Linked DNA regions of Diceros bicornis minor. The protein of the gene in region 3 purifies or fractionates together with the protein of the main gene of each other region. This does not show direct contact. Links are inferred from orthologs where the notes say so. Each region holds a gene or a part of one and is shown on either strand. Other genes may lie near its edges.

Evidence for each region.
Region 1: the proteins of DVL2 (region 3) and PLK1 purify together in Homo sapiens (affinity purification with mass spectrometry; 6 studies listed by BioGRID and IntAct, with this or other methods). This does not show direct contact. The link is inferred for Diceros bicornis minor from reciprocal best matches to the Homo sapiens genes DVL2 and PLK1.
Region 2: the proteins of DVL2 (region 3) and SQSTM1 purify together in Homo sapiens (affinity purification with western blotting; 3 studies listed by BioGRID, with this or other methods). This does not show direct contact. The link is inferred for Diceros bicornis minor from reciprocal best matches to the Homo sapiens genes DVL2 and SQSTM1.
Region 4: the proteins of DVL2 (region 3) and ITCH purify together in Homo sapiens (affinity purification with western blotting; 4 studies listed by BioGRID and IntAct, with this or other methods). This does not show direct contact. The link is inferred for Diceros bicornis minor from reciprocal best matches to the Homo sapiens genes DVL2 and ITCH.

Annotation. Positions count from the first base shown.
Region 1 is NC_080765.1:28,067,779-28,075,112, reverse strand, and holds the start of PLK1 (serine/threonine-protein kinase PLK1), read left to right. Parts: upstream 1-4,322; 5' UTR 4,323-4,626; coding exon 4,627-5,034; intron 5,035-5,745; coding exon 5,746-5,914; intron 5,915-6,672; coding exon 6,673-6,817; intron 6,818-7,334. UniProt on the Homo sapiens protein: Serine/threonine-protein kinase that performs several important functions throughout M phase of the cell cycle, including the regulation of centrosome maturation and spindle assembly, the removal of cohesins from chromosome arms, the inactivation of anaphase-promoting complex/cyclosome (APC/C) inhibitors, and the regulation of mitotic exit and cytokinesis.
Region 2 is NC_080740.1:92,810,629-92,817,691, forward strand, and holds the start of SQSTM1 (sequestosome-1), read left to right. Parts: upstream 1-4,056; 5' UTR 4,057-4,091; coding exon 4,092-4,296; intron 4,297-6,461; coding exon 6,462-6,557; intron 6,558-7,063. UniProt on the Homo sapiens protein: Molecular adapter required for selective macroautophagy (aggrephagy) by acting as a bridge between polyubiquitinated proteins and autophagosomes.
Region 3 is NC_080757.1:11,048,663-11,056,349, reverse strand, and holds the start of DVL2 (segment polarity protein dishevelled homolog DVL-2), read right to left. Parts: upstream 3,006-7,687; 5' UTR 2,788-3,005; coding exon 2,594-2,787; intron 324-2,593; coding exon 254-323; intron 1-253. Other genes in the region: PHF23 (PHD finger protein 23), read right to left, coding at 4,132-4,346, 4,450-5,299, 5,851-5,943, 6,111-6,142.
Region 4 is NC_080758.1:25,188,353-25,195,733, reverse strand, and holds the start of ITCH (E3 ubiquitin-protein ligase Itchy homolog), read left to right. Parts: upstream 1-4,369; 5' UTR 4,370-4,448; intron 4,449-7,224; exon of another isoform or gene 7,225-7,373; intron 7,374-7,381. UniProt on the Homo sapiens protein: Acts as an Acts as an E3 ubiquitin-protein ligase which accepts ubiquitin from an E2 ubiquitin-conjugating enzyme in the form of a thioester and then directly transfers the ubiquitin to targeted substrates.

The DNA.
Region 1 (7,334 bases), on a different chromosome or scaffold from region 3:
ATTGCTAATGAGCCCTTATTGAAATCGAATGTCTGACCTGTAGAGGCTGGTGACTGTCCAGTCTGATGTGCGTATTCTTGAGCGGGTCAGTTTGGACTCTGTGACTGACAAGATAAAAAGGAAGCCTTGCTTGTCGCTTGGACGTGGACCTGGCTGTCTGGCACTGCAGCATGCCTTTGCTGCTGCGGAAGAAAAGCAGCTGGCGTGTTTGGAATCCCCAATTCACTGATCCCAATTGCCTGGACCTGACTCTGAGCAGAAAACTGATGCTGGCTGCTGTGAGCTGTTGCAGCCTCCACAGGAGCTGTGCTGAACTGAAAGCAGAGACAGGCTCCATGAACAGGACTCAGACCCTGGGACCCCTGAAGATTTAGGACCCCTTCTGTGGAGCTCTCAATTATGGAAGCATACCTCGTGGATGCTGGCTGGACCATCTGGGTCACATACAAATGTCCACAGGAAAGGGCCTGTTCTCTGATGGGACCGTCTGATAGCAAGCTACTGATCAGCTCTTTATCTCTGATGCAGAGGCTAATTGCATCCTAACTTGTGATCCCCGTGGAAAGCTGCAGGCTGGGGGAGGGCAGTCACAGGGACTGTGACCCTCCGCCTGCTTTTGACAAATCAGACCTTCTGGGCCTTCTCTGGGGGACATCTCACCGCTGTTGACTTGTGTCTGGCTTTCTGGATTCATTGCAACTTGCCACAGTGGGCTGATAGCCTGACTCTGCCGCCTCACATTTCCCCCAGCACAGACACGAAGGTAAGGTAGGTTGATTATTCAAATGTAGCTGTCTCTAGAGAGGGCTTGATCTTTTCTAAGCTGCTCTCTGGATAAAAAGGGTAGGAGGTTCTGTAAACCCATTTTGAAATGTTTGAAAATTCAAAATTTCATCCTCTATTAGGCTGCTAGGGCTGCCATAACGAAATACCACAGACTGAGTGGCTTAAACAGTAGAAATTTATTTTCTCACAGTTCTGGAGGCCAGAAGTCCAATCAAGGTGTCACCAGAGTTGGTTTCTCCTGGGGCCTCTCTCACTGGCTTGCAGATGGTCGCCCCTCCGTCTGAGTAGTCTGTGTCCTAATCTCTTCTTATAAGGACACCAGTCATATTGGATTAGGGCCCACCCCAACGACCCCATTTTACCTTAATCACCTCTTTAAAAGCCCTGTCTCCAAATACAGTCACAGTCTGAGGTACTGGGGGTTAGGGCTTCAACATATGAATTTTGGGGGAACACAATTCAGCCCTTAACACATCCTGACCAATTCCTGAATGTGTCTTTCTGGTTACATTGTATAAAAATGTTTATCTACAGAAATACTTTTGTGCCTCTTGCATACAACCCTTCCAGATGAAAGGCCTGGATGAGAGTAAGAGGTGATGGAAAAAGTGTCAAGTTAGGATTGCTGATCAGTGGGGCACACTGATTTTGTATCAATGGAGAAAAAGTAAAAACTTGGCACCTGGGGAGCCTTGGGGAAGGGGGGGCATTTATGATCTGTTTTTCAGAACTCTTCCTGGAAGCTTTCCCCTCTTCCTGGGGGAAACGCCCAGTGCTGCCTCTGGGAGCATGCGCTGGGAGTGCTTTTGAGTTCAGAGTGTGGAGCCTGGGATCGCACCTGGCAGCTCTAACTGTGTGACAACAGAGGGGGCCCAGCTCCTGCCCTTGCCATGCGGAACTCCTTCAAGTGTTGTGCACCCTCATGAGGTGGATAGACTTGTATCATGGACAAGCAAATCTCTCTGGAATCAACTCTCTTCAGGCAGTCCCTCAGAAACCAAGGATTGCATGGATTTTTGGACTGGACTGGAAACTCGAGGGCAAGAGGCCCCATGGTAGGAGGCTACACTGGGGGCCCTGTTAACCCCTACTGCCTGACTAGTGTATGTCCCCCTTGGGGTACCCTAACACTGCAAACTCATTTCCAGGGGAACCACGTGTACCCTCTGGCATTGCACTTCTGTCTGTGTGCCCTGTCGCCACACTGCCTCTGCCCTGGAAGGTTTCAGGTCAGCTTGAATGTACCGGCCGCAGCTGTGCTGTACCTGATTGATGCCTTGGGTGAAAACGAGTCATACAGAAACTGAGGAGGAGACCACTTGGCTTTCTAAGATAGACTTCTATAGTTATTGGGATTTATTGTAGCTGGCTAAATCCAGGACCCTAACAGGTGTAACTGAGATCAGTACTGCAGGTTGGTCTCACCGTTTTGTGTGGGGTCCTACTGATCGTGATTTGCTGTAAAGAAGCATAGCCAAGGGCCAGGGGTGTGGACTGTACAGAGAAGAGGTGATCAAGCAGGCCTGAGACTGCTCTCCTTGGAAAGGTCTGTCTGCAAGGTTGGCCCCTGGCTGGCGACTGGAAGCTTGGATTTGGGGAGGGTTCTCACCATTCCCTGAATGATAAGCGTGGCTCACTGTGCCTAAACTGTTTGTGCAAACAATGTGGTTTATGCCAAATACCTGCTTTCCTTCTGGGAATCCGGAATTTGGTTGTGTGCTTGGCAGAGGGTGCCTGTGTGACCAGTCCCCAGTGAAAACCCTGGACACTGAGTCTCTAATGAGCTTCCCTGGTAGATAATATGTTGCATGTGTGGTCACAACTCATTGCTGGAGGAGTGAAGGGTGTCCTGTGTGAGTCCACTGGGAGAGGACTCTGGGAGCTTGTGCCTGGTTTCCTCTGGACGTGGCCCCATGCGCCTTTGCCCCCTGTGCTTGTGCTCCGTAGCCTGTAGCTGTAATGCGTCCTAGCTGGCCGTGAGTGGGACTAGATGCTGAGTCCTGTGAGTCTCCTAGTGAATCATGGAACTGGGCCCCCACGCAGGGAACAAGGGGACTTCTGGGGTGTTGGTAGTCTGGGTGCGCTGACACGGGGTGTGTTCAGTTTGTGAAAATTCACTGAGCTCTACAATTATGGTATGTACACTTTTTCTGTACACAGATTCAACTTCGATAAAAAGATAAAACAGGGGCCGGCCCGGTGGCGCAAGCGGTTGGGTGCGGCGCTCCGCTGCGGCGGCCCGGGGTTCGCTGGTTCGGATCCCGGGTGCGCACCGACGCACTGCTTTGGCAAGCCATGCTGTGGCGGCATCCCATATAAAGTGGAGGAGGATGGGCACGGATGTTAGCCCAGGGCCGTCCTCTTCAGCAAAAAAAGAGGAGGATTGGTGGATGTTAGCACAGGGCTGATCTCCTCACAAAAAAAAAAAAAAAAAAAAGATAAAACAGAAGATTACACACCACAGGGATAAAAAATACAAATGTAGTTAAAAAAACAACAACTTCCTTTTATTCAGCAGACATGTTCATTAACCCTTTTTACCAGGCATTGCGCTGGGAGCTTGGACGTGGGGAGGAAACATGTCCTTGCCTCTGTTTATTGGGAAGCAGGTAGAGACCTTTACGGTGTGGTTGGTTTCTGCTGGCTCTATCAAAGACATCACAAGGTGCGACGTATGGGGGCGCAGAGAAAGGGCTTCTATTTTGCCAGATAGGCAATGGGCAAAGGGGATAGCTGGGACCTGAGGCACACTGGGGAGGTATGTAGGCGGAGAGTTGCCAGAGCCTCTAGTTTTTTCAGGAAAAGCTACAAGTCTGAATTTTTATGTGAACCCCCTTGATTTCTAAGTGTTGTGAATGAATCCAAATTTTAAAAAGTGGGAAGCCTGACAAAACACCCCTGCAGGACAGATTTGGCCCTGGACTTCCCCTTTGCCAGGCATTCTGCCCCCTAGCCATCCTCCCTCTGAGCAAACAATTGAGGGTCCACATTTTCAGGCACTGGGGAATACAGCAGTGAGCAAGCCAGACGACTCACTTTCTTGCATAGTGGGGGGCTCTCCTACTGTGCTTCTCAAACTGCCGTGTGTGTGGGAATCACCTGGGCAGCCCCGTGGAAAGGCAGATTCTGACTGGGCAGGTCTGCGGTAAGGCCTGAAATTCCGCCTTTCTAACAAGCTCCCAGGTGGCGGTGATGCTGGTGGTCCCTGGAACCTCCTCTGAGCAGCGTTGCTCTGCAACCCAGAGAGGCTCAGGAGCAGCTGTCATGTGAAGGAGGGGAGTAGCAGGCTTGCAGTGCAGGTGCATTTGCCCGGCAAGCATCCTGGTTTTACTTAGATTTTACTTTATTGGAGTGACTTGGAAGAGAGCTGATGACATCGGAGGCGGGTGCTAAGGCTCTCCCAAGCTCGCTCTCGGCGCTACCAGGTCTCCCTTCTCCGAGTTTATATTCCAGAAGGCGGGGTGGGGCTGGAGGGAGGTGTTGGGAAAAGCTTCCTGGAGGCGGTGCATGTGAACTGCAAGTTGTCTCCTCTCCTCGGCCTGGGGCTCGGCTTCCCCACGCCGGGTACTGTTTCCCAGGCATCCCACGTGTCTGCCGTCCGCGAGCGCCTGTCAATCAAGTGTTTTTCCCCGGCTGGGAACGGGTTTAAAGGCGGCTGCGGTGTAGAGCGCTCCCATAGTGCCGCGCGGCGGGCGGGTTTGGATTTTAAATCCCCGCGGCCAATCAGTGGCGCGCAGGCTCCTGTAACGTTCCCGGCGCCGCGTTTGAATTCGAGGAGGAGCGCAGCGGTGCCAAGCATTTGCCCAGACCCTACTAGGTCCGCGGAGCAACTCGGGGAACATGAGTGCGGCGGCAACTGCAGGGAAGCTGGCGCGGGCACCAGCCGACCCAGGGAAAGCCGGGGTCCCCGGCGCTGCGGCTCCCGGGGCCCCGGCGGCCGCCCCGCCGGCGAAAGAGATCCCGGAGGTCCTAGTGGACCCGCGCAGTCGCCGGCGCTATCTGCGGGGACGCTTTCTGGGGAAAGGCGGCTTTGCCAAGTGCTTCGAGATCTCGGACGCGGACACTAAGGATGTGTTCGCGGGCAAGATCGTGCCTAAGTCGCTGCTGCTCAAGCCACACCAGAAAGAGAAGATGTCCATGGAGATATCCATTCACCGCAGCCTCGCCCACCAGCACATCGTGGGCTTCCACGGCTTTTTCGAGGACAGCGACTTCGTGTTCGTGGTGTTGGAGCTCTGCCGCCGGAGAGTGAGTGTCGCTCCTGGGAGACCGGAGCTGCCTGGGGGCCGGGGTTGGGGCGCCCGGGGCCCGGAGCTGCTGGAGTGGCGGTGCTGGGAACCTCGAGCTAGGGATGGAAAAGGTCTCGGGTAGAGGGTGCTGGGCACTCAGAGCTGCTGGGGGCGGGGAGGGTGGAGGCGAGGTCCGGTTAAGTGGAGCCCGAGTCCTGTTTCTGCTAGGGAAGGCGGCTCCTGGACCCTAGGTGTGCGGCAGAGGGGTGGGGGTGGGGGCGGCGCGGGCCGGGGTAGGACCCTGGTAATGGACCCCGGGCTTCCGGAGTTGCTAAGGGAGGAGTCCCGGGTAAGGGGTGCTGTGGACCCGGAGCTTCCGGAGTGGGGTTGGGTCAGGCAGAGGGTGGTTGGAGCCAGACCTCGGAGCTTCCGGGGAAGAGGGGTCGGGAAAGGGATCTGCTGCTGCCAAGAGGCCGGGGGAGGGGATATTGAGAACGCTGAGCTTCCGGAGTGGGGCTGGGAGAGGAGTCCCAGGTGAGGGGCTTGAGAGGGAGCTAGTAGGAGAGGGGGTGCTATGAACGATGGTGGCCAGGATTAGGGGAGGGCCCAGATCGCAGTTGTCCTGGAGAAGGAATTGGGGGAATGTCCTAGCTGTCTTTACCTAATGACACCCCGTCTCCCCTCGGGCCTCAGTACCGACTCCGCATTCCTCCTCTCCTCCCCCGCCCAGTCTCTCCTGGAGCTGCACAAGCGGAGGAAAGCCCTGACTGAGCCCGAGGCCCGCTACTACCTGCGGCAGATCGTCCTTGGCTGCCAGTACCTGCACCGCAACCGGGTTATTCACCGGGACCTCAAGCTGGGCAACCTCTTCCTGAACGAGGATCTGGAGGTGAAAATAGGTGAGGTGTTGGGCCTGCACGGGTGCTTGACACCACTAGGAGAAGTGGGAATGAGGAGGAGGCCGGGAGGGAGGAAATAGGAAGGAGAGGACGGAGGAGGTAGAGGGTGGTGGAAAGTCTGAGCTGTTGATTGCCTCTGGAGTCCTCTCTGTAGGGCGGACATTTAAAACAAAGAGCTCACAAGCCAGTATCTTGCCTGCAGATGCATGATTTTGTGCCCCTACACGGTATTTTTTTTAAAAGGATTTGAATTAGTTTCCATTTTTTAAATTAGTCTTGACATAAAACCTTGGATTTGGAGTTCCTTTTAAACAACTGGAAGCTCCAGCAATACAGGGCCAACATTCCCTCAGGGCAGCTCTTTGCTGGGCTGAAAAGCAGCTGTTCCCTTTAGACTCCCTCTGGTTTGCCACAGTCCCCACTCCTCCCTATTACTTCCTCACAAACTTGCCAGATAACAGTCTTGAAGTTTACTTGCTTGATCCCTGAAGGCGTCTGAGTTCTGCTATCCCCATCAAGTCCCTTTTAGAAGCCTAGCCCTCCTTTCTAAGGTCAGGGGTGAGGAGGGTCACTGGGAGGCCCTTCCCTGGGGCCAGCATGGTGGGGGGATTCCTGGGCAAGCCTTGCTGTGCACAAGGAATAGAGGCTTGAGGGTTCAAGCGACCCTGGTTCTTGATGGTCAGACCTGAACCAGATGTCTGCACTGACAGATGACAGAGGCTAGCATCTGATACCCCCTCTTGCTTCCTCTGTCTCAGGGGATTTTGGACTGGCAACCAAAGTGGAATATGACGGGGAGCGGAAGAAGACCCTGTGTGGGACTCCTAATTACATAGCTCCTGAGGTGCTGAGCAAGAAAGGGCACAGTTTCGAGGTGGACGTGTGGTCCATTGGGTGCATCATGTAAGTTGGGGGTTGTCTCAGGACCCACTCGGCCCTTTTGGACATCTCACCTGGCTGACCTTAGCCTGTGGACCTTTCTGCCTAGGGAAAGGCTGCTCCAGAGGACAGGCTGCCCAAAAATAAAGCCTAATTTCCATTTCTTTCCTTGTCACTGGCCTATCCTATAGGATTCCTGCAGCCTGGGCCATGGGTCCGGGGAAGGGGGAGGGAAGGTCTCCTCAAACTTGCTCTAGCCCCGGGCTACTCATAGTGTGGTCCCCAGACCAGCAGCATCATCCCCTGGGAACTTGTTAGAAATGCAGAATCTCGGGACCCGGACTACTGGATCACAATCTGGATTTCAAAATATCTCTGGTTCATTCTTGTACACGATAAATTTTAGAACCCCTGGTCTAGAAAGCAGCATTGGGTGGCAGGAATTAGGCTGGGAGTTACGGCCGGCAGCAGGAGGTGTCTGTGGTCTGTGGATGGAGGCCATCAGAGGGCGTGGGTGGTGGGCATAGGCTTGGGCCTTCTC
Region 2 (7,063 bases), on a different chromosome or scaffold from region 3:
CTGGCCCTCTGCTTTGGGGACACTGCCCGGCCGGGGGTAGGTCTCCACGGAGGAAGGGAGAGGCCAGGGAGGGGCGGGGCCCTGAGATCCCAGTCCTGACCCTCGTCCGACCCGCACCCCCTTGAAGAACCACCTTAGGGGCCCGGAACCCCGGGGCCGAGCAGACCACTAACGACCAGCGGATCTGACGCGAAGAGCGAGGTGTGCCCTCCCTGTCGCTGCGGGGAAACCGAAGCCTTGACCGGAGGTCTCAGTCGGGCAAAGACCCCGCCCAGCGCCGGGAGCCCAAAGACACACGCTGGGGCCGAGGGGGGCTGGCTGGCCGATGCCTCTTGGGGTGGGGTGGGGCGGGTCCAGTCTCCTCCTAGGCGGCACCCCTCCAGGGACCCCCCCCCCCCGCCCTTGGCTACCGCCCCGGGCCGCACGTGCCTTCTGAGCGGGGCGCGCGCGGTTGGGGTCTCAGCCGGAGAGGTCCCTGGCGCCGCCCGTCGGGCTTAGGGTTTCCGCCGATCTTGGGCGCCGGGCTTCCTGATACGCAGACAAGGCCCCGCATTAGCCGGTCAGCCTCACCTTCCCCCATGCGGCGTAGGTGAGAGTCGTTTCCACTGCTCCACACGCTTGGCATGGCCCCCAGGCGGGCGCAGGCGTCTCGCCCCCGCATCTAGTGCGGGCAGCAAAGCCCAGAACGGCTGCTCCAGCCCTCCAGCAGCCGTGCAGGAGGGCCCAGTGCTCCCACGCCCCGAGAACTTGGCATTACCTAACTCTCCAGCTGTGTCTCTTCGTGGCTCTATTTCATTTCCCCGATGACCGAGGACTTGAACCCCTTTTCTTTGAGAACCCTGCCCCCCCCAAAGCCCCCCACACCTCTTGGCTAGGCTGTGGGCTTTTGCAGGAAGGGCTAAAACGAAGTGATGTCCAGTGCCTGGGGATTTTCCCCAGGGGGTGGTCAGGGAAGGCCCCCACTGAGGAGGTGCCATTTAGCGTGGGAGGTTGCCTCTCTAGACAGCAGGGAAAGGGTTTCACGCAGGGGGAGGAGCCAGGAGAAAATCACCAGGTGGAATGAGTGGGCCTGGTTAGGACCAAGTATGGGCTGTGTCCCTACGGAGTGAGAGAGGGGAATAAAGTGGCAGATGGGTCCTAGGGCAGTGTGGCCTGAAGGCCACCCCATCCACGACCCTGTTCCCCACGGAGAGACAAACGCATCCCTTGAGCCTAGTGCTGAGGTCAGGAGGGGCTTGATCCCTTGTGATCCTCAATCTTAACGGCGGCCAGGGGCAGCTCAGCCTGAGTCCTGCAGTGGCCTTGTCTCTGGCTGCCCCCAACACCCACCTCTAGGCTTGGCTCCACACGGCAAAGAAAATAAAGAGAACTTCAGAAAACTTTTGTCAAAGGATGGGATTATTTTTGGAAGGGAGGAGGGGGAACTGAGGAGGTAGTTACAACACACCAGACCAAATCAGATGACCTCTTGGCCCCCCTGCTCCCAGAGTCTCCCAGAAACTCGACTCAGGTCTTGTCTCTGCTCCCCACTCTTTCACCTCCACTGTAGGCTGTAGCCTCTTTCCTTCCTGACAGCACCCCTGAAGCTGACACCCCCAAAGGCAGACAAACAACAAGTAGCACACCTAGGGGCATCACTTGGGAGAGGCGACTCAAGTCATCCCACTCCAGCCCCATTTCAAAGATGAAGCAACTGAAACTGGTCATTTGCCCAAAGATGGCAGGGCTGGTTGGATAGTCGGTCTTTTTATTCAGGTGCCAAGCTTTCCCCAGCTGCAGAGTGTTCGTGCCATGTTCTGGAGGGTGGGGAGGGGGCCAGAAGGCACAGGAAGGGTTGGGGGAGCTCCCTGCAGCCCAGGGAGTGGAAGGACAGCAGATGTCAGAAGCAGGCCTGGGTTCATGGGGATAGGGTCTGATTGGCTCTGGCCTCCCCGCTGCCAGCTCCCTGCCATCCTAGCCTCTGCGGGCTCTTTTGGCTCCGGGGGTCCCACAGAGGCCCATGCAGCCACTCCTCACCCCTGTGCTTGGCTGGCTGGTAAGATGTCACTGAGATTGGTGGCATCGGGCCGGGGAATCCCCCCTGTAATGAGGCGGTCATGAGACGCTGACTCACTGCCGGCCAGACCACCTGACTACGCAGCGGCAGGCGGAAGGGGCCCTGCCAGGGGGTTCCCCGGCCCGGCCTTGTTTACCTCTCACCCGCCGTGGGGGAGGGCAGGGGCAGGGGCAGGGCAGGGCGAGGGCCTGCTCAGCCGCGGGGCATGCTGGGAAGGCCGGAGCTGGGCCTCCCCAGGGGCGGAGGTCTCTCGGCTGCTTGCCAGGGCTCTATTTCCTGCCACCCCCTTTCTTCCTGAGCTCTCCATCTTTCCCCGAAAACCCACCACGGCCCCAGATGGGGCCAAATGGCGAAGGGCAAGGCGTTCCTGCCCGCGGCCTCCGTCTCCGCTGCTTGTTAGGACGGGGCCTGCGACTTGGGCCCTTCCTGAAACCCGCCGCTCCTCAGAGCCACAGGGCTTGCCTTGGGCACCCCACCCCCTCACACCCGGATGCTGAAGCTCTGGGGGGCGGGAAGCCTGGCCCTAGGCCCATCCCGCTGGGGGCTGCGAGGCTCCCAGGCTGCTGAGTCACGGGCGTGGGCGCCTGTGGGCCGCTGCACCCGCTGCCTAGCACTGCCCCCTCTGTGGCTTTTGACCCTGTCTGCAGGGCAGTGGGCAGAGGGTCACTTTCCCAGGCTCACAGCGGGGGTGCAGGGAGGGGCCTGAGACGGGACCATCCTCTCTACAGGGCAGTTTGGGCAGGGGTGCCAAGGCCGGCTCTGGAGCCCTCTGGGAAGGACCAGCCACACCTATGAACAAGTCCTTGCTGTGCTCCCATGGGCGTGTCACCCTTGTACCTGACTAGCCAAATCCACTCAACTTTCTGTGGTCTTTGGGTTTCCCATCCCTTGAGGTTTTACCTGCTCTCACAAACCCCACCATGATGGAAAGGACATGACTTTGACTCAGCAGGTCTGAACTTCTACTCACAGGACCCCACCTGGGAGACCTCATAGGGTGACATACCCTTCCCACTCACCTCCTTTCCAGACCATCCCCCCCAACGACCCCCTTTCCCCAAGCCTTGCGAACAGGTCACTTTCATCACATAAAGCGGTGTTTCCTGGTTCCTAGCTGGGGAGCTGTTGGTTTGCCCCCTGGGCTGCCTGTGAGCCCAGTAGGCCTGAGACTCCACAGGTCCTTGGACATCGCCTGCTGAACTGAACCCAGGCGCCCAAAGGGAGTCTCTCCGGCTGCAGTGAACACTCTGACCACTGAGGCTCCGGGAAGCCTTAGCTGGTGGTCCAGCCCGGGTGGGGTGGGGGCACTCTGAGCTCTTCCAGCACCTCTCAACAGTGTGCTCTATTCAACTGGGAGCTCCTCTGGTGCTCAGGCCTGAATTGGGGGTATGTCCCTCCACCAGTAAGGGGCTGTGGCCAGGTTACCAGGCTAGGCCATCATGGAGGATGCTAGGGGTGGTGGAGTGGGCTGCCACCTGGGAAGCTGGTTGCTTTGAATGGATGGGGTCGGGGTTCTCAAGAGTTGCGGTCGGGACAGAACCTCGGGAGCCAGTTTATTCCGGCCGGCCCTGCCTGATGAGCACCTAGGAACCTTCTGGCTTCCGGCCTCTGTCGCCCCCCTCCCTCCTGCGCTGGGTATCCCCAGGCGGCCAGCGTTCTGCTCTGCTGAGTCATGGTCAGATCCAAGCCTGGGAGGGGTCTGGGGCGGGGACCCCAGCGGGTCCCTTGCCCCAGGTGCAGAGACCAGAGTCCAGACATCTGTCGGAGTCCTTGGGCCGGCCTTTCGGGGTCCCTGTTGTACTAGGGACTGTGACGACAGTGGTCACCAATGAGGCGGCGGGGACGGAGGGGGCGGCAGGCGCGGGGCCCCAGCAGGGCGGCTCGCGCGCGGCGGCCCGGGCGGGGGGGGCGGGGCCGGGAGCGCGCAGGCCCGGCTCCCAGGAGGCCGGGCGGGGCGGGGCTTCCCGCGCTCCCTACAAAAGCCGCGCCCGCGATAGCCGCTGCCGGCTGCGCTCCTGCTCCTCGACACCTGGTGATGGCGTCGCTCACGGTGAAGGCTTACCTTTTGGGCAAGGAGGACGCGGCCCGCGAGATCCGCCGCTTCAGCTTCTGCTTCAGCCCTGAGCTTGACGCAGAAGCTGAGGCCGTGGCTGGCCCCGGGCCATGCGAGCGGCTGCTGAGCCGGGTGGCCGCCCTGTTCCCCGCGCTGCGGCCCAGCGGCTTCCAGGCGCACTACCGCGGTGAGCCGGCCGGCGGCGCGGGGCCGTGACGCAGGCTGCCCGCGGGCCGGGTGGCCGCTTCTTCTTCTCGTCGGGCCTGGTGGCGCCTGCAGGGGTCTGCTGTGGCGGCTTTCTGGGTGGGCGGCGGCCGGCGTGCGACCCCAGTTCGACTTCGGGTGCCAGCCTGGTGACCGGGTGTGATGACCAAGGCTGCGCTTTCGAGCTAGGCGCTGCCGGGGTCTCCGGGCGGATCTCAGGCCCCGGGGCGGGACCTGCCGTCCCTCCCCCAGCTATGATGTCGCAGATGTTGGCAAGGGCGCGCTGGGGCGTCCTCGCCGGCTCGCGGCGGGCACAGGGTGGTCAGGCGGGCACTCAGGTTACAGACGTCTTGCTCTGCGCTGAGTCTGGGTCTGCCGGCGCCAGGTGGGGGTTCAGATAATGCCGTGGAAGCGCCTGGACTGGGCAGACGCGTAGGAAGGGGCGGCGGGGAGAGGACTGACGTCAGTAAACAAGCCTGGGCGTGGGGGGGACCAGGGGCGGTGCGGCCTGGCCAGGAGCCCCGGGCCGGCGGGGAGGGGAGGTCAGGGACACATCACAGAAGCCCAGACCTGGCCAAGTCCAGGCGTTATTCCATTGGCAGCGGTCAGAAGGACAGGATCAAAATGTATTTCAGAAGTGTTGGTGTAGAGACAGAAGCCCAGGGACGAGCTGAGTTTCTTGCTGTACTGGTGTAACTGGTGGCTGCTGGGGTGGGGTTGGGAGGTTTTTGTGGCTGGGAGGGAGGCGGGCAGCCAAGGGCGGCCCCTGGAGGGGCAGTGCTGGGACCTCCCTCAGGAGTGCTGCCAGCTGGCTAGGCCAGCTCCTGGTTTGTTTTGGTAATGATTTTATTGAGCTATAATTTATATACCATACAATTCACCCATTTAGAGTGTACAATTTTTAGCATATTCACAGATTTGTGCAACTGTCATCGCAATTTCAGAACCTTTTCATCACTTTTTAAAGGAACTTGTACTTTTAAAGGAACTGTTAGCTCTCTTCCCATTCCCATTCTCTCACCCCCCAGTGCCAAGTAACCACAAATCTACTCTTTTTCTCTATGGATTTTCCTATTCTGGACGTTTCATATAAATATATAAATGGAATATAATTTATATGCATTATATAATCATACAATATTTAGTTTTTCCTAACTGGTTTCTGCAATTAGCATGTTTTCAGGGTTCACTTATGTTGTAGCGTGTGTCAGTACTTTATGTCTCTTTGTGGCTGAATAATACCCCATTTTATGGACAGACCACGTTTTGTTTATCCATTTCTCAGCTGATGGATGTTTGGGTTGTTTCTACATTTTGACACTGCCCTGTTTTTTTTTGGTTTTTTGTGAGGAAGATCAGCCCTGAGCTAACATTCATGCCAATCCTCCTCTTTTTACTGAGGAAGACTGGCTCTGAGCTAATATCTGTGCCCATCTTCCTCCACTTTATGTGGGACGCCGCCACAGCATGGCCTGACAAGTGGTGCGTCTGTCTGCGCCCGGGATCTGACCTCAGGCTGCCAGCAGCAGAGCGAGTGCACTTAACTGCTATGCCACAGGGCCGGCCCTCCACTGCCCTGTTCTTATGTTGGATGTTGTGGCTGGTGGCCCTCAGACCTGGCCCAGCCTGCAGATGCATGTGGTGCTTTACAGCCCTCTGAGCCAGCATCTAGAGGTTGGAGACTACGTACCAATACATAACGTTAGCTTTGCTGGGGGAGACAGCAGGCAGATGTGCTCATCTGCTTTACTCTCCTAAACCACAAGAGGCCCAAGGCTTTTGGAGGAGCTGGGCCCCCCCAGAGCAGATCACAGGCAGAGACCTCCCACAGTGGAAGATGGGCTGGGGCCTTGCTGGCTGTAGACTGAGGCAGCACCTTCTGAAGGGGCAGATGACAGGCTGCTGCTGCCACTGCACGCACACACTCTGCCTCCTAAGCGCCCAGGGCTCAGCTGAAGTACTTACCTTCCAGGCAGTGGCAGAGTGAATGGGCAGTCTGGTTTCAGCCTGCTTCCCTCTGGCTCAGACAGGTGGGCTTCAGTGTAGAGCCCTGCAAGTGCCCCTTTAGCGCTGGCCTCAGCCCTTTTTGGCACTGGTGTCCAGCTGAGAAGCCCTGGGTGCTCAAGTGCTGTCTTTTAAACAATCTAGATGAGGACGGGGACTTGGTTGCGTTTTCCAGTGACGAGGAACTGACGATGGCCATGTCGTATGTGAAGGATGACATCTTCCGTATTTACATTAAAGGTAAGGGGCTGCTGTGGGGTGCTGCCTGAAGCCAGGTGCTCCCTACTGAGTAAACTAGCTTGAGATTATGGAGAAATTACCCCAAAGAAGTGGTGAGGAACCTGCGGCTGTTTAAGACAGGGACATAATCATCGCTATGCTTGGCCTGAGAAAGGAGTCCATGTCCACCATGTGGTGGGATTGGATGGTCTCTGGGTTCAATCCTCTTTTTTTTTTTTTTTTTTGTTGAGGAAGATTGGCCTTGGGCTCACATCCGTGCCCATCTTTCTCTACTTTATATGGGACGCCGCCACAGCATGGCCTGACAAGCGGTGCGTCGGTGCGCGCCCAGGACCCGAATCTGAGAACCCTCAGGCTGCTGCAGTGAGCGTGCGCGCACTTAACCGCTCTGCCACCGGGCTGCCCCCTCTGGGTTCATTCTTTTTTTTTTTTTTTTTTTTTTTTTTTGTGAGGAGGACCAGCTCTGAGCTAACATCCAATGCCAATCCTCCTCTTTTTTTGCTGAG
Region 3 (7,687 bases):
GAGTAACGAAAAGGACTAGAAAAAGGGACAGGGTCTGACAGAGCCTGGAGAAAAGCACAAAAAAGCCGTAGCAAGCAGAAGAGACCTCATAAAGAGAACGCTGAGAGGCTCCAGCTGGCTCTCCAGACAGGTAGGAAAGCAAAGAGCCAGGACCTCCAACAACTGAGCAGGAGGAGTGCTACAGAACAGACTGAGGCGTGGAGGAGCTTAGCAACACAGGAGGGACTGGGGCCTCAGGGCCAGAGCCCCTTACCCAGGACACCACCCGTCCGTTGAAGCAGGGAAGGCGGGCATTGTCATCTGAAATTTCTTCCTTCACCACCCTGCCGAGAGAAGGGATAAAAATCCGTGAGACTGGACTAGCTCCCCCGACTCCCATCCCCATTCAAGTTTCTCCCAATCCTCATCCAGCTCAAGGATGTGGATTTTCTCTCACCCTGTCCAAGTCCTCTTCTGTTACACCGAAACACGTCACTCTTAGACCTAAGAAATCTCCAAAAGATTCCCTTTCCATATTTCTCCTTCTCTCCCCAGCTCCTCCTCAGGGGCTCAACGCTGCTCCAAAGATTTCCTTGAGTCTGATTCAAACCTCTCAGTCCAATTTCAAAGGCCATCCCATGAGGTTACCCCAGCTGCCCAAAATATCTATCTGACCTTAGGAGCCTTGCAGGCAGCCTCCCCTCAACCTCTAACCTGTTCCTCACACACCTTCCCAAAAAAGGCTTTGGTCCTCATGTAAGTCTCCACTCTTATGCTTTCCTTAGTTTTCTCTAACTCACTTCCAGAGGGCAGTCCAAATGTGCTGTCTTTGCCTAAATAAAAATATCCATTAGACCAAAGAATGGTACTTCTTCACTAGGCCGAGAGCTCTCAAGGAGAGGGGAAGCCGGGCTTCCCACTCCCCTGTGCCTCACCTGGCACAAAACTCTGCACTAAGCAATCGGCTCCACCTGACAGACCCCAAAGCCCAGCCCTGGGGACCATTTGCCCCATGGGTTCCTTGCGATGGACTGGACTTGTCCCTTCTTCTCAACTACCACCGGAAATCATTAATCATTAATGCCTATTCTGTTCAACACTGCATCCCAGCCTCACAGCAAAGTACCTGATACTTGGTAAGCATTAACAAATATTTGTTGACTAAAGGACTCAATATATAAGCTATGAAAATCTCTGCCCTGAACACACACTCTCATACATCCTCACTCTTGAATTAGGACATACTGTCTGATTAACCCTTTAGCCTAATATGGTTCTAGGAGCCTGGATACATGCCAACTTAATCCCATTTGCTATCAAAGCGACGACACAGCCCAGGCACTACTAATCTGCCTCAGCATAATGTAGTATTCTTCACAACATAATCCAGTCTCATCATAGTCCAGCCTGCCAAGTTGTTCTATTCTGTATCACCACAGGGATACAAACCTGGCTTATAGACTAGTCAGACTCAGTACTAATAATGACAATTATCATTTGCCAGGTACCTGTGGTAGGCATTTTACTTTGATGATCTCCATTTCACAGATGAGATCAAAGCACAAAAATTAAATAAATTATGCCAAATTAAAATGCTGACAAACAGAAGAACCTTGATTTAAATCCAAGGTAACTCCCAACACAGTACCACTTTCCCCAACGTCCAACAACCTTTCTAGGGAGAGCCCAGTCTGTTCAGCCCTCCTAGAACCCAGGCAATCCCAGCCTAATCCAGCCTGCCTTCAAAGCTGAGCTTGAGGACAGAGACTGCTCAGTCTCAAAGGCTATAGACACAAAAGGGCTTACTCTGCATTACTTAAAGTCCCAGTCTAGCCCAGAATGTCCCAAATTACCCCAGGAAAGCCCAATCTAGTCTAGCACATCCTAGAATGTCTCCACATGCAGCTGTCTGCACCAATACAGACTAGAATATCCCAATACAGCTGTCTGTACCAGCAGAGACCCCAACAGACTGTCTGCTCCTCTACTGAGTGTCCCAATAAAAACTAGGCCCCCACAAAAACTAAGATCAACCAATACAACCCAGTAGAGACCAGAATGGCCCAAGTTTCTCCAAGATAGCCTAATCTACTCCAGGGCAGCCTAGAACATCCCAATACAGCACACTCTGCATTATTACAGACTAGAGTGTCCCAAAACAATCCTGCCTGCCGTAGCATAGGCAAGAGCGCCCTAAGTTACCCCAGTATAGCCCTATCTACGTCAGGAGATTCCACAATATCCCTACATAGCCTGTGTGCTAAAGGACTGCTCAGAATGCACTGAACTACCAAAAGATAGATGAATCCACCTCAGCACAGTCCAGAACATCCCAAAATAAACCAGTGAGCCCCATTCTATTCCAATATAGCCTAATCTTCTCTAATCTGGTTTAGTATAGCCCAGTATGTCCTCCTACAGCTCCGTGCGCCTCAATCTGTCCAAGCATAACCTTGTCCATCCTGTGATACCCAATCTACCCCAGCATAGCACAATCTACTCCACTATAGCCCACAAATCCCCAGCATGGCCCAGAATGGACCTATGCCCCTCAATATTGACCAATCCACTCCAGCACAGTCCCCAGCCGTCCCAGTCTAGGCCTCGGGCTCACCCGAAATCCTGATCCATAGACTTGAAAAAGTACTTAGCGCCCGCGGGCCGCTGCAAGACGCTCTTGAAATCGCCGAGAGTGATGCGCTCGGCGGGGACAGGGATCTTCACCAGGTAGGGAGTCTCCTCTTCATCCAGGTGGTAAATCACCTTCGTCTCCCCGACACCACCGCCCCCCGCGCCGCTGCCCGCCATGGTCTCGCCCGCGCGCTCCCGGGCTCCGCCGCCCACCCAAGCGGGCTAATCGCTCCCGCCGCGCCTGCGCACACCCGAAAACCGACGCGCGAGCGCGTACAGGACCGACCCCGTGCAAGAGCGGTGCAAGAGAGAAGGCGGCGGTCGAGGGGATAGGAGAGGGCGGCCAAGGGGTGCGACCCAAAGCCTCGGACTCAGCCGCCGCCGCGCGCCACCGCCGCAGACGCCGCGAGCGCCCCTCCTGTGCCCCGCCCACCTCTCCCCATGTCACGTGACCCAAGCCGACCCACCTCGCGCTCTTCGTAACGCCCTCCGCCACGTGACCCTCTCCCGGTCACGTGACCACTCGGCTCCTCTTAGCGCCCCCGCCACGTGATCACTGCCTTCAGCAACGGTCTCCCAGCCCGCACCGGCCCCGCCCCCAAATGTGTCCCCACCCGCGTCCACCCAGTCCCGTGGCTAAGCTGGTCTCTGCCCTCAGGGAGCAGGCAACTGATTCCCACCCTGCTTTACCCAGCTCGGGCGGGGAGCTCCGAGCAAGTCTGATCCGCTGGAGCGAGCTTGTGGGGGGTGGGGGGTGGAGATTGTGGGGATCCTACACAGGGGCGAGGTGGGGCAAAACCAATTAAGGCCAGAGAGTCGTTTTCACCTCGGACTTGAAAGGGGGGTCAGTTTCAGCCCCTCCTCCAGCCAGTCTTCTGCCAGCTTTTCCAAAGCCTCCCTCCCAAGCAGGACAGTCAGTGAGGGCTATAAACACAAAAGAGCCCACTCTGCTTTATTTACAACACGCAGGCTGTCTGTACAAACAGCTGGCCAATATTATTAAAAACAAGAGGTGAGTGAGAGAATCGTCACCCTTCTGTTTTCCCTCCTGCCGGGCCAGGCTCTGGTTGGTACTCCACCTCTGAGCTGCCATGCCCAAAAGGGGAAGTCCAAAATTAAAAATACAACCGGTATAGAATAAATGGGGAGTGAGACAGAAGAAAAGATGAGGGACGGGAGTGCTATATTTACACTAGAGTTTTATAGACAACTGTCCCATTCCATCCCAATTCCAACCCTGGCCCAGAAAGTGAGAGGTGGCAGGCCCAAGGGACAGAGATTAAGTGTCTAGGGACCCAGGCAGCTTCCCACCCCCAAATGTAAGGGGTCCGAGTTCAAGTCCACAAGGTGGGAAGGAAGGGTAGGGGAGGAATGTGAGAAACTCATTTCCAAACCAGCCTCCCTTAGGAATTCCTGCCTTGAAGTGGGACAATATCCAAGCTCCAGGGGATAGGCTTGAGGACCCTGAGGCTCAGTTCCCAAGTCATGTCATTTAGAAGTTCCAGCCTAGAGCCTGCGATGTCAGGGCTCTCCAGATTTGGGAGGCCCCCCTAACCGCCTGGCCTCTGGCCGCAGTTCTTTGCATTTCTGGCAGTAAAAGAAGTCAGGGACATTGGTCTTCTTAATCTTAGCACAGGAGAGGTGGATCCACGTCCCACACAGGCTGCACTCAATCATGGGCCGCCCTGCAAAGGGCTTTCGGCAGTAACATGTGATCAGATCCCATGAGTCATCACCTGGGGAAAAGAAGGTTTGTTTGGTGTTCTGCCTGAGCTCTTGGATCCACAACACCCCTAAACCCAGCCTCCCAGCTGCCCTTGGGTGTCCCAAACTTCTCACCTGATTCTACCATGATGTCCTCATCCATGACCCGCATCTCGCCTTCACTGGAGCTGGCATCTCCATCTTGGCTTGTTTCAGTGCTGCCCACCTCCTTGCTTTCACTGTCAGTGGCAGGGGCTCCTTCAGGGTGCACTGTGGCAGGGGGCCTGGGAGCCTCAGGGGGTGTTGGCAGCACAGGGGCTGGGGCTTCACCCCCTACCATTGCTGCCATCTCTTCCTCCTCTTCCTCTTCCTCCTCCTCCTCCTCCTCCTCCTCCTCCTCTTCAGAGTCTGTATCACTAGGGGGTGCCCGGGGAGGACCAGGAGGTGGGAGTCTATCCCCCCGCTCTGCTTTTTTCAACTTCCGCTTCTTGCTCTTCTTGATTCGAGACCTCTTTTCCCCATCCCCAGGGGCTGGCCGAGGCCTCCGAAGCACCCCAAAGCCAGCACCCGCTCCTGGCCCCAATTTTCGGTTCTTTCGGTCCTTCTTTCGAGGAGGCTGGGAGAGGTCCCCCTGGGAAAGGGGCACTGGGGTGAGAGCAGCAGGGGGCCGGGAGGCATGTGTCAGGGATGTGGGGGACAGTGGAGATGCCATTTTGGGCCCATCTAGATCAAAGAGAGAGTCCTTGAGCTTCATCTTCTCAAGCAGGGTGGCACTGTCAGGGGCCTGCAGGCGAGAGAAAGTGGACCTTGGGGGTCCTGGCTGGGTGGGACCTGCTTGAGCCGCCCTTCTCTTGGATGACTTTGCTTTCTTAACAAAGGTTTGGATGGTTCGGAGATCTGAAGGGGCCGAGTCCCAGCCATCACTGTCTGCTGCACTCTCACCTCGCAATGGAGAGCTGGAGCCGGAAGCTGGCCAGTCACTTTCCTTAAAAAGGGGAAGAGACCAGGGTCAGCAGGCAGCCCAGTGTCATCTCAGCCCCTCTACAAACCCAGATTAGAAACCAAGAACTAGATCTACCCCAAAATATCCTGTCAAAACCACCAAGTCTCACTGTACTCATCCCAATTCCCATCAACATCTCCACTTGAACATTTCCATGTTACCTCTGCCCTCAAATTCTAGCGATCTCCCCAGTGCCCAGTGCTTTCACAACATTTTATCTCCCACACCAGAACCATACTTCTTTAGCTCTGTTCTTGTACAGCCTCCTTTGTTGCCATTTTCAGCTTCCTAAAATTTATCCAAAAGCAACTTCCATTAACAGTACCCCAAGACCATTCACTGCCGCTCAAGTCACCTAGCTTTATTAACCCCATCTCCGCCCCAGACACTAGTTTTCCCACCCAAGTTTCCAATTTTCCTAGTCTTATAATTCCTGGTAGGTTTCTCCTTTAAAGTAATACAGTCCCATTTACTCAACAGCGCCTCTATAGTCCTAGGACACCCCTTCATATCACTTGTCCTCCTGTCCCTACCTCTTTGCTAGCGGGGATGTAACCAGCATAGGCCAAGACAAAACTGCAGAACTTATTAAAATCCTCAATTGTTCTCCGACGTTTCTCTGGTGGCTGAAAGGAAGGAAACATGTATCACATGGAGTGTAAGAGGGGCATTCCCAAAGGCACAGTCCCTGGAGTGAGGAATGTGGAAAAGGTAGAAGGGAAAGAGAGACGGACAAAGGTGGGGGAGGGGGTCTGGCAGTAATACTAGGCTGCAAAGGTAAGGGAAACCTCACCTGAGTCTCTGGCTTAAGGGTCGGAGGTGGATCTGTGAAAGCAATAAAAGCTGAGTCAAGGCACTAGGCAAGAGTCGGTGTAAAACCCCACCTCTAAACCTTGAAGGTCCCAAGCGATCCCCCTTCTCTCCCAGGTACCTCAGCCAGGCCAGCAGGCCCCCAGCTGCGCTGGACCCGCCCCTGCTCCCCCTTCCGCCCCGCGAGGGGCGGAGCCTGGGCGCGGCGCCCTCCCAGGCCTCGCTATAGCGCTCCCCTTCCCCCCACCGGAGGCCTGGCGCCCCGCCCCCCCCCACAACTCACGGTTTCTCTAGACTCCAGTCGACTCGGATCTCTTAGCGCCCCACCCCGCCATACCGCTCCCCGGACCGAGCCAGGGCTGCCGCCTGCCCCTGTCCTTCACACGCGCCCAGAGCCTGGAGTTCCTACCCGGCCGCGCTCTACCGCCCCGGGTCCTCCGAGACCGCACACGCCGCCCGCCAGCCCTCAGGGTCCAGGATGACCACGCTGAACCGCTCCCCGCCCTCCGGCCCCTTCTACCGGAGCACGAGGCCCGGCGCGCCCCTCACCCCACCTAAACACACACAGGCACACACAGCCAACGCCACTTCGCGTCCGGGACAGACCAGAGAGCTCTAACCCGGACGCGGCCCCACCTGCCCCCCCCATACCGCGCTCCCCACAATTTCGCCGTCCCTCCGCCCCCATCCGGGGCTTTGGCCCCTCCCCGTCTCGAGCTCCTCGGGCTCCCCGTCGGGCCCCCGGGCCCTGTTCGAGCTCTCTCCGGCCGCCGCCCCCCCCTCCGCCCCCGTACTCACCACCGAGTCACTAGGCTACGGACCCCTAAACTCTACACCCCCCCCCGCCCAACCAGCTACTCTCTCCCCCCACAGCAAGCCCCGCTGCTGCCCACTCACCCTCCGCAACTCCCAGGCTCTAACCCTCGCCGACCAAACCTACACCCCCCCCCCCGCAACTCGCCAGTCTTAACCCCCCCACCCCGCCCCAGCGCCCCTACAACTACCCAGCTCTCCTTGCTTCCCGGCTCTCTCTCTCCCCACAACTAGCCCCGGTACAGGTCCTTCTACCGCAGACAATACCCAGACCCCCTCTTCTCCTTACAACTATCTGCCCACCTCTCTAACAATCACCGGGCTATCTCTGGCGGCAACTACCGGGAGCTCCGGCACCACCGCCACAAACTCCCCCACCTCGGCGAACTGCCGGGCTCCTACTCAGTCCTCTTCTACATCCTCCCTCCTCAACAACTCCCCGTCCCCCGATACTCCCAACCTCCCAGGTCCAGGGCCCCAACCTGCCGGAGGCCTTTTCGGCCCCTAACCCCCGAAGCTCCGGTTTCCAGCTCCCACTCGCCCCGCACACACACACACAGTCTGATCTCCAACTACCCCCAGCTCAGTCTCCCACTCCTCTTTCTCCAAGATCTCTCAACTCATCGCTCTCCCACCTCCAGGGACAGGCCCCCGACCCCCCCTCTCCGTGCTCCCTCGCCGGGCTCCTGGGCTCGACCTCCAAGTTTGCCAATTGATTCCTCGCCCGCCTCCCGCTGGCTCAGCGCT
Region 4 (7,381 bases), on a different chromosome or scaffold from region 3:
TTCTTTTTTATTGCTTAGTAGTATTCTACTGTATGAATGAATATACCACACTTCATCCATTTTCCTGCTGATGAAACATGCAGGAGTTTTAAATGTTTTGAATTGGTTGCCAATGTTTTAGACCTGAGTTCAAATCCTGGCTTTGCTACTTGCTAGATGTATGACCACAAGCTGGTTATCCTGCCTCTTTGAGACTCAGTTTCCCCATCTGTATAATGGGAAAAAGTATAGCTATTGCTTATTGAGTGCTTGCCTGGCATTGTTCTAAGTGTTTCACATGCTAATTTAATCCTCACAATGACCCACGATATAGGTTATATTACCATTCTCATCTTATAGATGTGGAAACTGAGCACCCCACCTAGGTTGCTGAGAGTATTCAATGAGATAGTATATATAAAACACTTAAGACTCTATTTGGTAATTACAATGTAGAAAGTAAATATTAGCTGTGATTTTTTATTTTTCCTTACTGGCCCTTGGAGGAATTTAAGTTTACTACCCCTGATGGAAAAAGTGGATAAAGCCCTGGATGTCGAGTTGCCAAAGAAAATGCAGGATGCCCAGTTAAATTTGAATTTTAGATAAACAAGGAAAATAATTTTAGTATAAGTATGTTATACCAATATTTGTTACATATTTATGCTAAAAAAATTATTCATTGTTTGCCTGAAATTCAAATTTAACTGAGCATCCTATATTTTTATTTTCTAAATCTGACAACCTTACCTGGGAGGGAGTAACTGCAGAATGTGTGCGCCTCATTTTGCAAATGAAGAAACAGTCTTAAAGAGGGGAATTGATGGAGCCATGACCTCAGGTCTTAAGTGGTCTCTTTGGATCCAGATCTTAGATTCCCAGAAGCCCCATCCAGTGTCTTCTCTCCATCTACACACAGCTCTGCCACATTTCAAGTCTTCCCCTGTCTCTGGCAGTTGAATACAGAGTGGCTTCAGGGAAGAGAGGGACAACAGCGTGACTAAGCCTTCTGCAGGGAAAGCCAGTAAGTGACAGGCTGTGTGTGGGCCACTGGGGTTTCTCTCCCCACTCATTCCAGCTCTGCATCCCTGCTTCCTTCCCCCCTACTCTCCCCAGAGGCCTGGGAAGCTCCTTCTCTTGGTGGTGGGGGCCTCCTCCAGGCTTCCTGCCCCTGCTCTAGCAGGGCTGGGTCTTGTCCCAGGCTGACCTGGGTGTCCAAGGCAGAATGAGGGTGTAGGTGGCTCACAGCTTTATCAGCCACAGGTCCTGCATTCTGACCAGGCCAAGACTAGGCTGACTTCTGGATCAGGGAACCTGGGGGCCAAAACTGCACAGCATGAGAGATGAGGAAATGGCCAGGAGAGGATTCTCTGCCCTCACCAACTCAACTTCTCTTTGGAGAACCACCAACTACCTACCTGGATTTTCTAGAGTCTTCACAACATCCTAGGAAGTAGGATCTATTATTTCCATTTAGAGATTGGACACTGAGTTTCAAGGCACTTGCCTAAGACCCTGAAGCAAGTTGTTGATAGTCAGGACTAGATCTTTGATCCATATGCCTCTGAATAAGCCTAAATTATTAACTCTTCCAAGTACTGCCTCCCAGGGCAGAGCTATTCCACCCTGTTGGCATTAGCATGAAAGTTAGGTTGGCATAGTTCAGTGTTTCTCAAAATGTGATCCTTGGGCATCAACATCACCTGGGGAACTTGTTAGGAATGCAAATTCTGGGGCCGGCCCCATGGCTTAGCAGTTAAGTGCATGCGCTCCGCTACTGGTGGCCCGGGTTCAGATCTTGGGCGCACATCGACACACTGCTTGTCTGGCCATACTGAGGCAGCATCCCACATACAGCAACTAGAGGGATGTGCAACTATGACGTACAACTATCTACTGGGGCTTTGGGGAGAAAAGGGGAAAAAAAGGAGGAGGATTGCCGATAGATGTTAGCTCAGGGCTGGTCTTCCTCAGCAAAAAGAGGAGGATTGGCATGGATGTTAGCTCACAGCTGATCTTCCTCACAAAAAAAAGAAGAAAGAAATGCAAATTCTTAGGCCTGATTCCAGAACTTCCTAACTCAGAAATTCTGGGAGTGATAGCTGACAATCTGAGTTTTAATAAGCCCTCCAGGTGATTCTGAGGCACTCTAAAGTTTGAGAATCTTTGGCATGTAGTAGAAAGAGATGCATTTTTGGAACAAAATGAGCATATATTTAAAACATATATTTGCTTGAGGTAAACTTTTATTGACATATAATACAAATACAGAAAAATACACAAATCATAAGTATACAGCTTGATGAATTTTCACAAAGTGAACATGCCTGTGTACCAGCACACCACATTATTACCAGCCCTGAGAAGCCCCTTTGTGTCTCCTTCCTGGTACTACTTCCCCTCAAAGGGATTCACTATCCTGACTTCAAACACCGTAGATTAGTTTTGCCTAACATTATATAGTTTAAAAAATTGTAGATGAAGACAGAATCTGGAGCCAGAGGACTTTGGTTGGATCCCTAGCTCCTGGCTGAGTGATCTTGGATCAGTCATCTAATTTCCTTGAGACTCATTTCCTTCTCCGTATAATAGTCATAAAAACACCTCATACCTTAAAGAGATAGTGTTTCCCAAACCTGCCTGCTGACAAAAATCACCTGGGGCACTACTTTAAAAACCCACGTTTCCCAGAGCATACATTCTTTTTTTTTTTTTCCCTCGTGTGTGTGAGGAAGATCAGCCCTGAGCTAACATCCATGCTAATCCTCCTCTTTTTGCTGAGGAAGACCGGCTCTGAGCTAACATCTATTGTCAATCCTCCTCATTTTTTTTTTTCCCCCAAAGCCCCAGTAGATAGTTGTATGTCATAGCTGCACATCCTTCTAGTTGCTGTATGTGGGACACGGCCTCAGCATGGCCGGAGAAGCAGTGTGTTGGTGCGTACCCGGGATCTGAACCCCGGGCCGCCAGCCGCAGAGCGCGAGCACTTAACCGCTAAGCCACGGGGCCGGCCCAGAGCATACATTCGTAATGGGACAAAAATTGGTTGGGGGTGGAGAGGAAAATTTTTTTACTTTTTCATGTAAAAGCACAGATATACATATAGTACATAAATAGATATACAGTATACTTGTGATATTAAAATTTCATGGGGGGAATGACTAGAGAAAAAAATGTCTTAAAATGTTCCTTAGAGAGATGATTAAAAAAAGGTTGAGAAACACTGCCCTACAGCAGTGACTCTCCAAGTGTAGTCTGTGGTTAAAAATGCAAATTCTGAGGCCCCATTCTAGACCTACTGAATCGGAAATTCTGGGGGTGGAGTCTAGCAAACTAAGGTTTAACAAATCCTCCAGGTGATTCTGATGGGCACTAAAGTTTGAGAACCACTGTCCTAGAGAATTTGAATAGGTAGGACCCCCCCAAGAGTACAGGATACTGTATCTGTATCTTTAAGAAGATCTGTAAGCAGGAATCTGTATCTTTAACACACTCTCCTAAGGCATATTGCAGGAAACATTAACATACAGGATTTGAAAGTATTTTGAAAAGCGTTAAGTGACTTTCTAGATGGTGAAATATTATTTTCACTAGGAGGAAACAGGCTAAACAATAATAGCAAAGGTTACTAATTACTAAGCACTTAGTTGTTCCTCTGAGTCTACTTAGCCTATCTATTCTCATAAACAACTCATGAAGGAAGTTAAGAGGATGGACTCTGAAGCCAGACTGCCTGGGTTCTTATCCAGCTGTGACTTTGTTTATGCATCTGTAGAGTGAGGATAGTGAAGATACTTCCCTCATAAGTTTGTTGTGAGGTTTAAAGAAGTTTATTGAGTAGCTCTTGGAACACCTGCCCTGTTGGCACCAATTACGTGTAAGCTATTTTCATCAACCCTAAGCGCACCCTGTTAAAAGGTATATTTGAACCGGATCAATGTAACTCCCGAGTGCACTTCCTTAAGGACAAATCTTGGTTCTCAAAGTGTGATCCTCCACCAGTGGCACACCAGAGAGCTTGTTAGAAATGTAAATTAATACAGGCCATCTAAGATCAGCTGAATTAGAAACTCTGGGGGAGGAGGGGGGGCCCAGGAGTCTAAGTTTTAGCAAGGCTTTCAGCTGATTCTGACGCACACTAGAGTTTCGGAACCGAAGCTACAGTCTTTAGAGGTTGGGGGTGGGGGTGGGGGTGGGGGTGGGGGTGGGGCGGGAGGGATTAAAAAAGGGCCTAGAAGCGCTGGGAGGGAGCAAACTCCGATTTAGCTGCGCTCACCAGCTCCAGCCAGCTCTTCCGGCCAGAGGCTGGCAAGTTCGCCAGGCCTTCTGGGGTTTGTAGTCGGGGTCGCTCCCGAGGAGGAGGCGCCTGCGCATTGGCGGCCTAGTGGCTCCGGTCCCTGTAGTCGGGGCTCGGGACCGGCTGCCATCTTAGTCGAGGGACTGAAGAGTCGCCGCCGCCCCGAGTCCCGGTAAATACCCGCAGGCGGGCTGGGGGCAGTTCTGGGGAGAGTGGGGTGCCCGGATGAGAGTGTCCGAGGAGAACGAGGAATGGAGAAATGTGGCGCGCGAGCCGGGCCCCCAGAACCTTGGCTCCTCGCTCTTCCCTCAGAGCCGGTGCCCCTGGGGGCGCGAGGAGCTCGGGCTAGTGGCCCGGGCCGGGCGGGAGGTGGGACGGCCGGACGCACCGAGTGGCCACTGTCGGGCTGAGGCGTCCGGAGCCCCTCGCCTCGCCGGCGCCAAGTTGTGGGAGGGCTGGGCCGCGGCGGACGCCGGCAGGGTCCGGCCCCGCGCCCCTCAGCCCCGCCCGGGGGCCACTCTCCCGCCGCCGGGCCTACGCGCGGGGCCCGGCGGCAGCGGCCGGCGCGCGCGACGTGGCCTTGTGAGGGGCGGCGGCGAGGCCCACCTGCCACCCGGCTGGCCTTCTCGAGACTTTTTGGAGCCCCCAGTCGCGAGGGGGGCCCAGCACAGCGGCTACTTACCCTTGTCTTTTCCAGTCCCCTCCTCCTTCCATTGTCCCCCAGCGTGGTGGTCCCGGCCCGGGCGCCCTGCTCGGCTCCCGCCGCCCCGACCCTGCCGGCGCCTCCCGGCGCCGAGTTTTGCAGACGTGGAGCTGTCACTGTCCTCCTTCCTGAGAGTGTCCGTTCCTTTAGCAGAGAAAAGAAAAAAGTAGCCGTGAACGTATTATAAGGGTCAAAACATGATGAGGACATGACTTCGTAGGGACCTCAAGTTTTAAGATTTATTTCCGGGCAGCGAGTTAAAGAGAGATAAACACAGGGACCGTGCGCCCGAAGTAGACTTTGGGCCTAACGTTAGTCCGAGATGTAACCAGGTGAACTTGCAAACCACCCGAAATTCACGATTCCCGGTAACAACCCAACTTGTTTTCTTGGTTACATTTGTATCTTTAATCGTGTTACATTTTCTGCCATTATTTTACAGCTTCAGTATACTTTTTTGGGGGAGTGAGGGGTGGGGAAGGAAGAGTGGGACTTGTCTTTGAAAATTAATGAGGCGCTGGAGCCAGCCGCCTATCATTGGCACTTAGTTGGGGTCTCCGGCATCTATTCCTAATATAATTCGATTTTAAGGAAGTATGTAGAGGCAGTGTATTTCCACTCTCAAAATCTGCTAAGGATTTGTTTCTCGGCTGAAATGAAGTTCTCGTGGCAGATCTGGTGAGCGCCTGCACTGTGTATTCATAGGTTTACTCAAGGTACAATTACTTCATTTTTAAGATTTAGAAATGAAGGTGGAAATTCAACTGTTTTTTTTGAACAGTGAATGTAAGGTTTTTGGGTGTGAGTCCAAAAGGAATTCCTTCATCTTCAGCATATGAATCAAGTCAACAAGGATTATGATATGAAATAAAAAGCAAGTGCAGAATACTTCTTCAGTGTATTCTAGAGTAAATCATTTCTACATTCTTTTAAAAAACACATCTTTACACCTATTGGAAGAGACAGACCGGTAGTCCCCAAATTTGACCATTAGAATAATTAGGGAAGATTGTTAAAAGTAGAATTTCCGGGGTCTTGTCTCCTGAGATTGATTTAGTATGCCTGTGTTGGCTCTAAGGAGTTTATTTTTACAACATGCCTCAGGTAATTCTGATGGTGTTGGGAACCACTGAGGCAAACAATACTGTGAGCATACCTAGGACAGCTCAAAAAACTTGGAGACAGATGAGGAAGTGACCTGTTCTATCTGGGGGTTGGCCACAGAAGGAGGCAGAATCTGCCTGTGGACCTAAGTTGGGTCTTAGATGATGAGTAGGAGTGTGATAGGGATGGGGAAAAGGAAGGACAAGGCAGATAAAGGAAGAAACCTTAATGCTGTTTGTAAATGCAGAGGATTGTAGAAGAAAAAGGGTTCAGAGAGCAGGGAGTGGAATGAGGAAGGAGAGCATGTGAGACATGAGGCCAGAAAGGTCAAAGGAGGCAACTATATGAAAAGTTCTAAGTATAATGCTAAAAAACTTGAGTTTTATGTTGTTAGCAATAGATGCAAATTTTTAAACAGGAAAGTGGGATGAGTATGTGTGTGTTTCAGAAAGATTGCTCTGGTGATAAGAGTGAAGGGATGGAAGAGTGGCCATTGCAGAGGTCTAGGTGAGAGGTGAAAAGCCTTGACCTTGGACAGAGGCTGTGGGGATGTTTAAGGGTTTGAGTTTAGTTCTTTCCTAGTGTAATATTGTTGCCATATTTTTGGATGAGGATTTTTTAGGGACAGTCTGGGCAAAGGACTCCTTTTCTGTCAAAAGAACCCATTAGCAAGCCTGAATTATATTGCCAGGTTAAATATGTTAATGGTATTGGAGTGTATTGTTCATTAGCATCTTTGAAAAAATTAGAACGAGATTGGGTGCAATTTGGAGGAGAATTAGGAGATAAGACTGAAATTTATGACTATCAACGGTGATCTAAGCTTGTTTGAAGTTTTTCTCCCACTCAGAAACTTGGTCTTAGAATTTTAGAGTTGCAAGAGATTGCAGAGATTATACAGTGGCAAATATGGTTTATGGGCCAACTCTGCTTTGAAGTAGCTGCCAGAAGCACTGTATTGAGAGGGATTTTGGTCATATGGGTTCTCTGGGAAAGTGACTTATGATTGATTGGTGATGCCTCCTGCGGGCACAGTTATCTAGTGGGTGGTATATGTGCCAGGTATATACTATTCTTAGACTAGTCCAACCTCTTGGTTTTCTGTTTGTTTTAAAAAAAAATGTCCTAAGGAGGTTAAATAATTTACCTAAAACTAGTTAAGAATCAGAGCTAGAACTAGAGCTAGAACTAGAGCTAAGTTTTGTAACTCTTATTCTATTATTCTCCAGTGTACCAAGATGAATGTGTGCTACTAAAGAGCTTTGGATATTTTATCAAAAGAAAAAAAAGGTATTTCT